Arabidopsis thaliana: one gene and its partner. The protein of the gene in region 1 interacts with the protein of each later gene in a pairwise test. Each region holds a gene or a part of one and is shown on either strand. Other genes may lie near its edges.

Evidence for each region.
Region 2: the proteins of AT5G23280 (region 1) and AT1G05710 interact in binary tests that used the Arabidopsis thaliana proteins (3 or more experiments, as listed by UniProt).

The regions. Positions count from the first base shown.
Region 1 is NC_003076.8:7,838,201-7,847,212, reverse strand, and holds AT5G23280 (TCP family transcription factor), read right to left. Parts: upstream 4,607-9,012; 5' UTR 4,197-4,606; coding exon 3,444-4,196; 3' UTR 2,564-3,443; downstream 1-2,563. Other genes in the region: PFD5 (prefoldin 5), read right to left, coding at 550-627, 711-814, 886-1,069; STP11 (sugar transporter 11), read right to left, coding at 6,339-6,791, 6,904-7,859, 7,946-8,081; TT16 (K-box region and MADS-box transcription factor family protein), read right to left, coding at 8,873-9,012.
Region 2 is NC_003070.9:1,712,723-1,720,013, reverse strand, and holds AT1G05710 (basic helix-loop-helix (bHLH) DNA-binding superfamily protein), read right to left. Parts: upstream 5,197-7,291; 5' UTR 4,630-5,196; exon of another isoform or gene 3,819-4,629; 5' UTR 3,817-3,818; coding exon 3,706-3,816; intron 3,596-3,705; coding exon 3,530-3,595; intron 3,456-3,529; coding exon 3,279-3,455; intron 3,153-3,278; coding exon 2,991-3,152; 3' UTR 2,724-2,990; downstream 1-2,723. Other genes in the region: AT1G05730 (FAM136A-like protein (DUF842)), read right to left, coding at 1-37, 117-254, 779-907; AT1G05720 (selenoprotein family protein), read left to right, coding at 1,165-1,342, 1,526-1,584, 1,713-1,894, 2,265-2,337; AT1G05700 (Leucine-rich repeat transmembrane protein kinase protein), read right to left, coding at 6,769-7,108, 7,187-7,291.

The DNA of each region.
Region 1 (9,012 bases):
AACTATTGAAGCAAATGGAAAGGAAACGTGAGATCATAGCATTGAATTTTGCTTTATACGAAAACAATACTCAGACCTCTACTTAGTGTATCATGTATGGCTCTAGGGACTAGGGAGTGTTTGACAATGCAGGAAAGGATCAACCAAAGGGCTTTCTGACTACGTACTTGCATTCCATAAAACTTTAAGGCCTCAAACATTTTTATACAATGGATCAAGTCAGTGAAAGAAGTCCACAAAGATTCACCCCTAGTAACAGAATCAGACTCCATTCAATTCAAAAAATCTTATCCACTTTGCTCATTCACAATTTTCGTAAATGTTATGAGAAATGTGTTATCCTTCAGTAAAAGGACAGTTCTAAGGCATATTCAATAAGCCGTATGAAGGAAAAGTGTAGGCCTTCAATACCTAAAAGTACAGTTCTAAGGCATACTCACTGGCATTCGAATACATATTCCCTTTCACTCAGAATCTATCTAAAAACCAAATCAGGCCTTTAAAAGTTGCTAAGATAGTGAAATGATCCTAATTGCGAATACATATTACCTCAAAAAGTTGATCAAAGTTGGATTTGAGCAAGTTGATCTTCCTCTGACAATAATCTTTTCCATCATCCATTGTTTTCTACATAAAAATGCAGCAAAACACTTGAGCTACACAAGAACAAAGTCATAATAATCCAATTACTTATTGAAGTTTTCTATTACCTCAATGAAGTAACCAGTGCCAATATCAACTAAAACCTTATCAGCTTCATCAAGTGTCCCAGGCACGTATAGAGAAGCAGTCAGTGGTACAAGCATCTTCTTACCTACAATTTTCAAATTGTTTTATAATCATCCATCGCTGAAATTGAAGAAGGAGAGGTGAAATAAACAAAACCTTGAGGTCGAAGAGAGAGATCGTTGAGAGCTGCGGCGGCGGCATCGAGACGAACGGTAGCTGTACGGATGTTGTTGAGACTATCTTGAAGAAGATTCACTTCCAGATCTGCTTGCTCCTTCAAAGCTTTTAGCTGATCGATTCCCATCTTCTCCATCTCTCCTCTCGATGATGACGACGCCATTCTTCTCTCTCACAGTCGCGCCTTCGAGTTTGCGATGCGCTCAAACTCTTTCTTCAAAAGGTTAGAGACGAAGTGTGTGATGGCCCGTTAAGCGGAGTTCAGACTTCAGCGTTAGAGATGAAGTCATAAGGCCCATATTGGCCCATTTAAGCTGTTTCTAACATTTTCGAGGCCTTAAATGATTAAAGAAGAAAATAGTGTATGCTTTGATTCAAATAAAAATTAAAACAAAATTGAATCAAAAAACAATTTTTAATAGTTTACCTATATTTTGAAAAAATTTGAAACAAAAAAATATTTGCTTATAATTCAAACAATACTTAATTTGCTTATATTTTGTCATACTTATAAAAAAATGTAACCAAATGAAATAGTTAATTAGTTGCGTATTTTTACATTTGTAACTAAACAAATAACACATAAAATTAATATTCTTACATGTTTTGGGTCTTATATAGAATTAATATAGATCCCAAATTGATCACTGTAGAATCTGCAACTAGGAAAAAATGAACATGCTTTAACGTTTAAAAGAAACAACTAAAATTTATTTTATTTTTGCTATAAAATTGTTTTTATAGTCAGTTTTGAAAATCAAATTTTGATACTCTATGATAATGTTTAGTCATCAATTTTTTCTGAACCATAAAGTATTTGACAGTACATTTAATTTAACACGGCACAGAGCTAGTAGAGTGAGGTGAATGAGAGGCTATTTATTTATTTACATGTGTCGGTCCAAAATGCGAAATATGTATATGAAAAATAAAGACTCGTATATGAATTATTTGCCAGCCTATAGAAATTATTTTTCGGTAGAAAATAATTGGGACCATATCAATTATTGGTGTTGGGGTCATTTAGATGATTCGACAATAAAAGGTACGGATGTTTTATTGATACGAGTTGATTACAAAGATCCCCCACCTATAATTATTTGCATTACATTATATAGCTAAGTGTTAATTACTAAGACCTAATTAAGAAAGAAAAAACACCAACTTTTTGTTAAGATCTTTCCATTAATGGATTCTTATTTTAATGAGAAAATTTGTTTGATTCTTTTGATTGGTTAGTGTGACCTAAATAGTCTAAAGAAGCCTATCTAATCACTTTGACATTTATTCATCAGGTATTATCGTGATAAATAAATTATTGGTTAAATACATTACTCAGCAGATATATAGCTGTGAAAACCACAAACGAAATCATTGAATCTATGCTATTTGTACCTTAAATATACTTTGCATAAGAAATTATACTATATCAGGGGTTAAAATAAAATTTACTTTTTTGATAGTCCAAATTATTACAACAGTGAAAATGGTTTTTGCCAAAATTAAAACAACCATTTGAACTCATGTTCGAGTGTATCACCCACATTTTTTTAGATAGCTAATCTCAAACAAGAGAAGAGACAATTCTAACACCTTTAATCTTTCAAATTGTAACAGTTTCTAGAACAAAAATATAGACAATTAATTTAAAGATATCATGTCGCCATATAGTTTTAACAGTACTTAAATTTAATATTTCTCTGACTAACGTGACAAACCAAACTTCCAAAAGCACAGTACAAAGATTCATATGAAACAAAAAGGCAACAAAATTGAAGAATTCAGACACAACTGGTTTGTCTCTTTTTCTTACTAAATCCTCTGTTCAGTTCTTGCATTAAATCAAGACGCGAAACGCCAAAAATAAATAGCATCTCAAAATCCACAATTCATACATATATCCACTAAAAAAATAAGAGATTATTATGATTCTGTTCAAAAATCCATCATCCGGTTCGATTTCAACGAAACAATCACTATCACATAAAGCTTTTTGTGTATCAATAAATGCAGAGAAGGAAGGAACAATATGAATTCGAAACATTTATTAGAAATAAACGTGGTTAACAGCTTACGCAAATGCTTCACCACAATTGTTGTAACACATTACACAATTAGCAACAACAACAACAAACCATATTAAAACATTTAAATATATATCTGAAATTTTAATCGACGGCTCTGTTTCACCGGAAAAAAAAAACAGACACAAAAAAAAAAAGAGGAAAAGAAACCACCGTGGTTTCTGAAATTTTCCCTTTTTTCCTAAAAGTAATCTTGGATCCGATAAGAAATCGATCTCCCTCCAAAAAAACAACAGATTCTTAAACCCTAATTTAACCCTAATCAAAAACAACCGTCTTTAACTTACTTAAAGCTAACGAAAACTCTCAAATCACTTGCAGAGATTCTGAAACCAAATCAATCTCTAACAACACTAAAACACACACATAGAGAAACAATGACAACAATAGAGAAGAGAAGATAATAAATATATATACCAAATTTTGCCCTCAAACCTAAAAGGGCTTAAACCATTAACGTGGATCTTCCTCTCTTCGATCCGACCCGGGAGATCCACCGGATAAAGAAGCAAGCAAATTAAGATGACCCGGAAGATAATTCCCAACTCTAGCAGCAGAAGCTTCACCCATTGCAGCTTGTTGTTGCTGTTGCTGATGAACAAACAATGGTTGCTGATGATGATGTTGTTGTTGTAAAAACATCTCTTGTGGAGCTCCAGCAAAACTCCAAACTTGTCCAAAATCCGGCCTCGCCGGAACAGCCCAAAACCCAGCTGGTGTTGTCGTAAAGGTCTCATCTTTACCAACAGAACTATGATTATGACTATTATTACTATCCTCATCAGCTCTAACACGTTTCCCAAGTATAAACGGTGACGTACCACCAAGTAAAGAAGTGGGTTTATGATCTAAAGAAGTAGAATTGGTGGCTCCACGGATAGAGACAGAAGCAGTTGAGAAACTCGCTGGAGTTGTACCAGTTCCTGTTGCAGCTATAATAGAAGGCTCTGCTTGACGAAGTAACCATTCAATTGTTTGGCCATCTGACTTATGACCAAGCTCTCTCGTTAGCTGAAAAACACGAGCAGCACATATAATCGGCATACGGATTCTTCTCCCTCTTCCATCGACTTTGCTATGTCGATCTTTCGCCGGTGGTTTCTTCACAACGACTGATGGTTGTTGTTCGATTAAAGCTCCGTTTGATGAGATCATAAGACCATCGTTGTTATTGTTGTTGTTGTTGTTGTTGTTGTTAATAGACATGGTTTTCGATCTGGGTTTAGTGTTTTCTTTTTCTCACTTGGCTTGTGATTACTCTCTCTGTGAGAGAAGAGAAGAGAAGAAGCTAATGATTGAGAAGGAGGGAGCTGGTGGAGACAGGAAGGAGAAGCACATGGGTGTGGTGGGGTCCTTTTCACACAGCTCACCATCTCTGGTTTTTTTTCTCTTTTTTTTTTTGCTTTTTTGAGAGGACATTAGTTTTGTCCCGACGCGGTGGAGCTCACGCGCGTTATTACTCCGGTGAAGAAGAAGGTCGCGTGGGGACCAAACTCCGGCAGGAGAATTTAACACTAGGTAGGTGGGTCACTCCTCCGGCTGCTACGTGCATTTAAAGAGACATTTATCCTTTGCCACGTCATTATATACATTATTACTAACTTACTATAAGCTTGAATTTGGAAATTAACACGAAGATACTAATCTTATTTAAAATACATGAAACTAAATGTATTGAAGTTGGTCTCTCTGTCTAAAAAAGTTTTTTTTTGTTTTTAAATTTTTGGGACCAACCTAATGTGGTTATTAGATTTGGGCTAATGTGAACATTTGTTTTGTGATTACGTGAAAATTAATCTTTTTTAGAAAGCTGTTTCCATAAAACAATCGAAAAGATTGAAAAGGAGACAAATCAGTGAGGTAATTGATTGGTAAGTAGACTTTGACATCAAAACTTAATTGAGTTATAAAACAATCAAAATTTAATACTAGTGTTTGTTCTTTTTATTTATTTGTTTATAGTATATTGGTAATAATATTTGCCACCAGTTACTCTGCCGTAAATGCCAGTAGCCCAGTATCACGTGTTTTACGTGAAATGGCAAAAATCGAAACCCTTAAAAATTATTCAGAATTCTTTTGTCGACATCACAAAAGAAAGTTACCTGTAATTAGTTGAGTTTTGCCAACTAAAATACCCAAAGACATTTAAATTAATAGTACTATAAATTAAAAATATTATGGTTTTAATGTTATTAATTTATAGAGGTTTTACTGTATATAATATAAATATATATATAAAATAAATGTGTGTATAAAATAAAAAGAACGAACATTAATTTTAATAACTCCCATTTTGAGACTGACATTGAAAATAAGTGGATTAGTCCACTTGTCAGATACGCAAGATTTTCTTTATGTCGTTCGTCTCATCGCAACGAGATTTTCTTCACATATCGTGACAACAATTTATTTTATGACTTATGCTGAGTTATGCACCACCAAACGCTAATATTTGTTTTAATTATTTTCGTACTCGTACCCCCTAATTAAATGGATTTTCTTATCGTTAATTTTTAACATTCTTGTGAGCTAATGCAAAAAAATAAATGCAATCATGAGCGATATGGCATCATGTCGGCAGTTTTATAAAAAGATTGTGTACCTTGAACTTTTGATCCTTTTTTTTTTTAATCTAAAAGATTTCGGAATCCATTTTTTGTGTAACTATAAACTTGAAACCTAATCTGATACAAAATGTTGTGGAGTGAATAATAATACTAATTTATAAATCATGTGAATAGTATTCACTTGTAACAAAACAAAACAAAAAAGTAATTAATATTGGATAATGGATGATAACAATTGTTTGTTCGAGATTGACTTGATGGTTGATTTAGTTATGTTACAAACAAAAATAAATAACCAATTTAATTTCACTTCTAAGTTTTGGAAACAACTGATAAGATATGATATGGTAGATAAATTCAATAATTTAAAAATCGCTATCCAAATGAGAATGGGTCAAATTTGGGTTATTTTAAGTACAAATAGAGAGAGAGAGTTTTTTTTAATAATCTTGTGAAGTGTTAGAGAATTTTTAGTAGCCGGAAAATTATAATAATTTTAAATATTTTAACAATTCAAACGGATAATTTGGATACTCTTAATAATTACTCGACATGTATCTTTATCGTAAAAAATGATCATTTTAGTCTAAACAAAAAATTTATATTATTTTTAGTTCAAGAAGTTTCGAGTAATTTTAAGTACGGTCATAAATCCTCAAATTATGTACACTTGTTTATTATATCCTCATTTTTATTTTCTCACATTGGTCAGTATAAGCATTTTCTCAATAATAAGTTTTTAATCCTAACATATCCTTAAATCCCAAATAATCATCAACTAAAAATAAGCATCATCATCAACATCATCACCATCATCATTATTACTATATTTCCCCCAATATCTATGCTCTTTCCACACTTTCCCCATCTCCTCAATCGGAACACCTTTTGTCTCCGGCAACAAGAAGTAAATGAAAATGGTCATGATCAAGACCATACCCGCGAAGAAATAGAACAAACCAAACTTCATATGGCAAAGCATCGTCAAGAAGAATTGTCCAATGAAGAATGTAAAGAACATGTTCACCGAAACGTTTAACGATTGTCCTGCTGATCTAATTTCCAATGGACATATCTCACTCGGCACTAACCATCCCAACGGTCCCCATGACCACGCGAAACCCGCCACATAGAGACATATCAGTGCCAAGATTATATCCGCATCAACCCCTGACAAATTTCCTTCCCCGTTGAATCCAAATTTCCATCCGATCATCGACCCGACCGCGATCTGAAGCCAAAGCAAAACAAATCATTGTTACCTACCTCGGTTTTAGAAAGCAGAGCAAGATACTCTGTTTTGAAAAACAGAGTATTTTCATTGTTTTAGGGTTTGTACGCACCTGGGTCACGATCATCTGAAAACCACCTTGAAGAAACAAAGCTCTTCGTCCGAATTTGTCAACGGAGTAGATGGAGACAATGGTGGAAAGGACATTGACAAGACCGGTGATAACTGCGGATATGAGAGAGGCGTCATTTCCAAAACCGATGGTCTTAAACAGAACAGGTGCATAGAACATAATGACATTGATCCCGGTTAGCTGCTGGAAGAATGGGATGAAGGTACAAAACGTGAGCTGCGGTCGATAACGAGCTTGCATTATGTTCGTCCATGGATGCTTAACTTTCTTCGCGGCTTCACACGCGTTGCAAAGTTCATTAAACTCATGCTCAACCTCCATGGTTCCTCTGATCTTCTGCAGCATCTCCTTAGCCTTTTCTTTGTTTCCACGTTCAAGGATTGAGTTTGGCGTATCTGGCAAGAAAAAGCATCCGACAAGCATCATAACGGCCGGAACTCCAGCTAAACCGAGAGATAATCTCCATCCGATCCCGTTCTGGAGCTTTGGGGTCACGTAATTGACAATGTTCGCGGCTAAGATCCCGATCGTGATTGCTAATTGAAAACCAATGTTGAGAGCTCCTCTGATCTTAGCAGGAGCCATCTCAGAGAGGTAAAGAGGAACAGATTGGTTAGCGAATCCGACACCTACACCGAGAAATAACCGCCCGATGATCAACATCTCGAGGTTGATAGCTAAACCGTTGAGAAGAGCTCCAGAGAGAAAAGCGAGAGACCCGATAACCATTGAGACCTTCCGGCCAAAAAGCCTTGTAATGGTGGAGGCAAGGAAAGAAGCGAACAAAGCAGCGAGGTAAAGAGAGGAAGTGAAGAGAGTAAGAAGCTCATTGTCATATTTACAATATTCTGTTTCACGCCCTCTTTTGTTTTGCATTTGACGAAGCACGTCAGGGAAGAATTTCGTTAGAAAGTCCTCCATTGATATCACTCCTCCTGAAAACATATAATATGTCCGCCATGAAAACAAAGAAAGAAGCAGAGAGAAGAATTTTGGTTTACTTGGCTGGCAAGAAACAAACCTGAGATACCAATGTCGTAACCAAAGAGGAGACCACCCATTGCAGCTACAATGCAGGTTATCATGACAAACGCGGTTACACGACCTTCGTAGTCTCCTCCATGGCCACTCTCGTCTATAAATGCCCCTCCTGCCATGGATTTAGACTAATTAACCAAAATAACCGGCCCGCAGCTTCTTCTTTTTTGGGGCTCTAGATGATGATGATGGTTGTTCAAGCGATCACGAACTCAAATTTTCTCGTCGTAATGAAAACAAAAAAAAGAAGAGGAGGAAGAAGAAGAACAAGAAGAAGACGTTTGTTCTTCTGAAACGTCTTTCTTGCTTCTTGATCGTTCTTGCAGTCCTCTGTAAAAGTTATTGGAATGTTTTCAATCATGGCTTAGTTTTTTATAAGAGCTTTTTTCGGGATTATGATCCACTCTGTCTGAATCCACCAGACATTACAAAGATCCTCATGTTTTTTTTTGGCAGCTAATAATCTAAGAATAGTTTTGCGGCTTGTAATCTATAAGACATTTCCGGGATTTTTTATTTTTTATTTTTTTGCGGCTAATAGTCTATAAGACATTTGCCGGATTTTTTGTATTTCTTGCGGCTAATAGTCTAAGAATAGTTTTGCTTATCTCTTGCACTCTGTCTCCAGGTAATGGCCAATCTTCACTTCAAAACATCAAAGCAACAGCTTTTTTTTTTCACAAACATAACTTGGAGAACAAGGGTGTTTCATTACATAAACAGATGATCTTTAGTTGGAAAATATGTAATAATGATGATTAATTATATAACCAAGAACTCAAGTGCATTGTGCTTTAAACAAGGTTTCCATAGCCACACAAAAGAAGACACTGGCTTATCAAAATATAGGTAATAAAAGTTCATGAATCTGTCTCCATAAAGAAAGAGTAGATATCTATTGAGAATTGTATTAATCATTCTGGGCCGTTGGATCGTTTTGAAGATTAGGCTGAGCAAGCTGGAGATTGTAAGTAGGATCAATCTCAGAAGGAAGTGTAGCAAGCTGAAGAACGCTGTTTGGTTGTTGTTGCTGCTGCTCTAGAAACTGCT
Region 2 (7,291 bases), on another chromosome or scaffold:
TGTCTTGACAGACCATGAGAGATCTGTTCATCCTTTCCTGCATCATAATTACAATTGCAAGTTTCTCAGTCCATTGTAAAATTATGCATTTTTTGTGAGTTGAAATTATATTATACCTGAAACTGAGACATTTCGCCTTCGAAATGCTGTTGAGCATTGACAACTGGAACACTGCAGTGCTCAACACAGTTGGCTATCTCCTCTTGCTTCCTATTTCTGTCAAAGCACTCGTATGCACATTTGAAATAGGCTTGCTGCAATTGATCAATTTTCCGGGTTTGATTCATCAACTTAACAAATAAATATGAAAACAATACGCTTTCATACAACTTGAGTTATACTAATATAGCTGTAGAGATATAATGAAAACTGTCAAGTTTAAGTTTCCAGGAACTACTTAACATGACTACAACAAGACACAGCTTCCAGGAACTTAACATGACTACAAACTTTCATGTTATTAACTAGACAGATTGTATCAAAGGGCAGCAAAAATTAGCTCAGAAAACTTAGTTAAAACCCATTATAAAAGAGATATACCACAAGTCCACAAGTGAACTTAACTAGAACAGATTAATGCCTTGAATTGGACAATATATGGAACAAAAGGACAAGTTTTTCTCTTTTGTTGCGATTACAAGTTGAAGGAAAATTTCGGCTTTTTCAGAATTGGTAAATTGGTCACCCGAATCAAAATCAACACGAGCACACAAATAACATACACCTATGAGTAGGAGGATCAGGAATGCTACAAAAAGGTATATGATTGTTAATATACCTGAAGGGTGAAATTGATGTGATCTTGAATAGGAGAGAGTTGCGATTGAGCAGTTGCATTAACTTCTTCAAGTTTTCTTCTAATCCTCTCCGTTACAATTTGCTCCTCCGCTGCCGCTATGTGATCCATCGTCTCTCTCGATCTCGAATGGGCGATTTTGATTCTAGGGTTTTAGAGGTTTTAGATCGCAACAGGCTAATGTGAATTGGGGTTTTAACACTTTTCACGTCGGTTAAGACTTTTTTATTTATAACCGGAGATGGTTTCCTCTATACCAAGATTGCTTTTTCGGATACTTAAAAAACCGGAATTGACCGGATCGGATCATAGCAAGGCAGCGACATTAGTTAGAGTAGCGTCGGATCTGCGAAGACTTTGATCTGTTGATGAAACAGAGAGAGATGGCGAAGATGGTTGTTTTATCAGCGATGATGATTTTGATATTGGCATCGACGATCTCAGCAAAAGAGCAGCTCAGCACTAAAGAATGTGAGGATCTAGGGTTTAGCGGTCTTGCACTCTGCTCCGATTGCCACTCACTCTCTGAATACGTTAAGGACCAAGGTTCGTGCCTTTCTATGCGTGCTTTATTTGATCTCAATTACTGCAGTTTTGCTTTTTTTCCCCCAAAAGATTCTATATTTTAGTTTTTGTGTATTTTATGAGCTAGATCATTCTCTCTAAAGTTGGTTTTGAGGAGTGGAATTACTAAATTGGTTATCTTATATTGATTGATCTTGTTTGCAGAGTTGGTATCTGATTGCTTGAAATGTTGTGCTGATGATTCTGAGGATTCCATGAGCAAGGTACGATCACTAGGCATGTAATTTGTAGTGCTTTTGAATTTTAATGGGAATAGATTAGATGAATACAGAAACATCTCCTATAACATGGATATGAATGAAGAGAAGTTTACATTTTTTTGCCATTGCAGGTTACCTATTCTGGCGCTATATTAGAGGTGTGTATGAGGAAGTTGGTTTTCTATCCTGAAATTGTTGGTTTCATTGAAGAAGAGAAAGAAAAGTTCCCTAGCGTCAAAGTTCAGTACATTTTCAACTCACCACCCAAGTTGATCATGCTCGACGAAGACGGTGAACATAAGGAATCAATTAGGTAAGTTGCTTTATAACCCCCTTTGCTCAACTCCTTGCTAGAATCTTTAGTATTAGAGTTTGGGTGGGGGAACGAGTTGACCTGATTTAAGACGTTCAAGGTGACCTGATATATCCATGTTAGCTTGGTAGATAAAAATATAACTATCCATGGATCTGCAGCAGTTTCTATTCTCACTCTCTCGTTGCTCTGTTACATTCTGCTGTATCATTTACTTAGACCTCTAGTTTAAATTGGTTTTTGAAAGGATTTTCTCGTTGTGAGCATGAATAAGTGATGTCTTTAACACCTCATCCTCTATCAGCAACACAACTTCATTCCTCCAAGGTTGTAGCTGACCTCTTTGTTTCTTGATTTGCTTGTTTTGCAGAATCGACAACTGGAAACGCGAACATCTACTGCAGTATATGCGAGAGAAGGTCAAGCCTACTGCAGCAAGTTAGTTTTATCCCATGTAGAGCTGAAGAGGATGATCCTCCCTGTCACATTTACATATGCCAAAGCATTGCAATCTAGTAGTTAAAAACACATTATGACCGACTTATCTTATCTTTGTCCAAGCTATTTGGTCCCTTGGTATCAACAGTCTGTATGTTCTGAACCTTTGCAATTCTCAGTGGTAATGTATTTAATCCAATGTTCTTATGAAAGGATAATCTTAATTCTGTGGTCAGCAGTTTGGCACTATTACAAGCACTGAAAGAAAGCTATATGTATTAGGGAAATCCACGATCATACCTTCAGCACTGAAAGAAAGCTTGCCTTGGGTCTTTAGATCTAGAATAATGTATTGGATGCTGTAGGTAAGAATCACACAAAGAAAAGCTTAAGATATCTGAGGCATTTTTTGGGATAAAGATTACTTTGCATTAAAATCATTTGGTTCCTGTTTGGGCATATTACACAAGTCCAAAGTAAGGGGATGCATTAAGCAGTCGAATAATAATAACAATCATTGCCAACCATGAGCTGTTCTAAACCAACATCATGTGCTCTCTGTCTATATATGTTACAGAGGCATCATCAGAAAAATAACAATTGGTCATTCTTTTTTAGGCTTAACACAAAGATCGTAGTAGGTGATTAGTCGAATTGGTCATCTAAAGGGTGATTGAGATGTGACACTGAAAGCTGGTGATAGAGGAGTCTTCACGGGCGCCCATATATCAGCGCCGTTGCTTTGAGCAACTCCAACTGTATTCTCCATTGGAACAAGACATAATCCTCTGTTTCTCAGGCTGTACTGCTCCAGCTCCTCCTGGTTACAAAAGACGGGAAAATCAGTCCGTGCAAGGTATTCAAGTTCCAAGTGAAGATCTGTCAGATGCAGAGTAGAACTAGTGAACTAAGTATAAATGAAGTTGAGATTCAAGATCATACTCACCTGCGTAGCATCAGGTACCGTTTGCAGATACGGAGCACTTAGCACCTGTACAAAAGAACATGGGAACTCAGATAAAGATGAATGAATCATGCTTGGTATTGAACTGCAGACCTTCACTTGTTCGTGAAGAAACTCTATGTAATGCATCGCGTCTAGAAGAACTGATGCAGTGTCGGTCTGTGAACATTAGAGAAAAGTATGAGCTGAGAGACAGATTCTTTTGATTTGCTTGCCAAAAAAAACAAAGTTACCTTTCCATAAGGGGAAACTATTTGTTGAAGAGCTGAAATACGTTCTCCAACCTTGTCCTTCCTCTCCTGTTTGCCATTAAGAGAACAAAGATGGACGGATCATTACCATGCAATTTGTTGTACCGAAGACTATTTCGACCGAGAAATCCATGAAAACTAGCTAGGATAAGCAAAACCTTGGAACTGAAAGAGAGATCAGACTTGTGGCGTTTGATACTGCTTTCTCCGAGAGAGCAGACATTCCGCTTATTCTCCATCATCATTCCAGCGTCTCTAGAGAATTCCATACCTTTTGTCAATAAGAAATGCGCTAAAGAGTCATCAACACAACATGACCCAAAATTTATACTAACAAGACATGTTACATAGGGTACAAGGTTACCATCCTAGAGCAAATTACAGACCAGAAAGATTACAAGATCTATGAAATGATGATCTTGTTTTGGACCAACCAATGCATTGGGAGACAGGATTTGGAAGAGAAATTTAGAATATTAAGCCAAGACAAAGGTATGGTCAACGAAGTAGGCTAGGATTTGTGGTCAGAGGCTAGGCCTCAAGTTCACATCAGCTTAAGCATTATTTTAAGATTTCTAAGCACAATTATAAGCTCAAACAAAAAGATTAAATATGTTATCATACCTTGCTTAGATTATTTGCATAAACTCATAAACAGAGAATAACATCATATATGCATGAATCAATAGAGTCCCTAAAAACAGGAGAAAACCCCCCCAAAAAACAAAACACATATAGAGAATCCTCCACGGATCAGAGGAGAACAAAAAGTCACTCTCAGTGAATTATTGAAGTTAATGTAAACAAGAACTCAACTTCTTGCATTACAATAACAAAACTATGAGTAGAATCTGGTAACGATATCTATCAAAGTTGGTAACTTTTTCAGTCACGGGGATTGTCGTATAAACGAAATCAAAACCTAATCCAACTGAAGGTTAGCAACAAGAAGAGGAGAGATAAGTAATTATGCTTGAAATTAGCTTTTAGCAGACTAAATTTGGTGTAATTAAGCCAAAAATGGAGTAAAGAAACAGAGCAAATAAAGAAAGAACGAATAAAGAGAGAGAGAAAGAGCTTACGGAGAGAGAGATAGGTAGAGTCACAAATTGGAAGAAGAGTCTAAGAAAAAGCTTTATTGTTCAAGAAGCCACCACCCACAACTTCTGAAAGTTCCAAATTTTGCTTCGTTTGAACCCTAAAAATAATTGCTTTTTTTTTTGTCCTTGAGCTTCTTTCTGACAACACAAAACCCGATAAGATACAGAAATGTCTCTCTCTCTCTTTTGAGTTTTCTGAGTCCAAAAGGCAAAACTCCAAACCAGTATTTAGTATGTATAAACGTCAGTCTTTTTCCTTTGTTTTGCGCTTAAAACGACGTCCAAGATCGTGCTGTGTGACACGATGAAGAGCTCAAGCAGAGTGAAAATAAGCGTCGTTTCTTATAAGGTCGTAAGATTAGAGCAGTCGCAGAAATCTCGGCGTGAGAAAAGGAAAGAGACAGAGAGAGAGAGAGAAGAAACTGTGTCTGTTTTTGTTTATGCTCCAAACAAATAGAAGGGGACTTATTTTTATGTCTGTCTTTTTCGTCTAGACTCTTTTTGGGTGAAGTAATGTCATTTACTTCTCATTTAATTATTTTCAAATTTATTTATTGATTTGTATAAATCTAGAGTTTTCAATTTTATCGACTATCAATATTTTTTGATAATTTTTTCCTTACGAGTGTAAAGGTTATAACAAGCTACAAATTTATTCAAATGGTCAAAATCAGAGCCACTCATGCCTGAAAATTGTAATTTTGCACACAAATTCTTGACCTCACATTATGTTCAGAAAATCTCCAGATGTTTTATTTATGTGCTCCAAAGACTTCTATGATACATTTTTTTTTGACAACCAATTAGATGTAGATTAATAGATACATAAGTATTTCTTAGTTTAGATAGAAAAAAATGGAACCTTAAGTGACGTAGTTAGGACATTTTGGAAGCATGCATGTTCTGCATATATTGCCCCCACACCATCTACTACAACTCCTGCAAACTTTAATAATAAAGATGAAACAGATGACTAAAGAGTAAAGACTAATCCCTAATTAGGCTTTAGTGTTCAGAATCAGTCTTTTGTCTTGTGACTAAATACATCATAATTTGACAGCTATTATACAACCCATTGAGAGAGTGAGAGGTCTTCGTAGTTAATATCAGTCCCAGGTAGAAGTTGCTTTTATTATTATTATTATAGATAGATAGAGAGAACTATTTTTTCATTTATTGATGATAGTGACATTGTAAGGTTATTTTATTTTGTCAACATATTTGACCAGCTCTCTGCACCATCAGTCTTTTTGTTTCTACTTTCCACTTTTTGCTTTTTTCGTCTTTGAATTTTTGTTCTCTTCTCTTTAAAATCAACCAAAATTTCAACTAGAGAGGTTAAAAACATGGGCTGTATATAAAATCCATCAATCTAATCAAATCAGTGATTGAAAGTGATGTATTATTTTCATAAATTAACACCTACAATAATGAGATTCTCTAGCGTCTACCATTAATAATGAGATTTTAATTAGATTGAACGAGTTCATTTCATTAGTATATCCGTTGTTTAACTACAAGAGAATAAATGAAGTGTTATGAAAATGATAATTTACTACTGTAAATTTTTATGTTTCAAGTAAGACAAATTTAATTTTTCTGACGTCAATGCAACTTCATAGAGAGACTCAGGCGTTGAGGAGACGCGCACGCGTGGTTTCGGACACCAAACTCGCTCTAAAAGTCACTCACGTGGAGCGGTTAGAAGAGTCACGTTTCGAAACGCAGACGCAGAGGTAGAGATTGCGTGTGTAAAAAATAGAGATTTGTGGGGACAGCGGCACAGACCGTGCGACGCAAAAGTCCGAAAGGAATCAGCGTTTTATTTAAAAGGTACGTTTGGGGTCCTACGCGGCTTCGGTCTTTGTCTTGTTGTCACCATCTTCTTGTCCTCTTTTTTCCTTGTGGCTACCGGATTAGGTACTTTTTCTTTGTTTTTTCCTATTTATTATGGATTCTTTTCTATTCCATTACATTATTACTTTGGGCTTTTAGATATAGCATTAGCAACACAAACTTTAAAAAGCCTTTCAAAAATTTAAATATATAAACACTCCCAAGTTTTCAACATCTTTCTGTTTCCAACCCCTTGACTTATTCTACACCCTTTGCGTTGTGACATCAATAGTTCTTGTTACTCTCTTCTCTTTGAAGACACTCATTCAATCCTCTAACAATATGTGGCATGTTTGGCCTATCAGAGACGTTCTGCGAAACAGAGGATAATGCAAGCTCCACAACTTTCCATACAGAGTTTACATCAAAATCTTTCGCCATCTTTGAATCTATAACATTGTTCACATCATTCGTAGACCTCAAGATCGATATCACCCAATCACTCACATGAACACGTTTCGTTTGTGACTCTTTGATCACGGTTTTGCCTGTAATCATCTCCAACAGAACAACTCCAAAGCTGTAAATGTCACTCTTCTCGTTTAGCCCATTTGTCTCAAAGCATCTGCAAAACGGAGCATACAATCACTAAAAAAAGATTCCATGTTTGGCAAATATGGCAGACATAAGAGAGAAAACTGACAGCGGATCGAGATATCCGGGAGTTCCAGCGACTAGGGTGGATACGTGAGAACGACTCTCTGTATGAAAACTCCGTGAGAGTCCGAAATCTGCAAGCTTTGCTCTG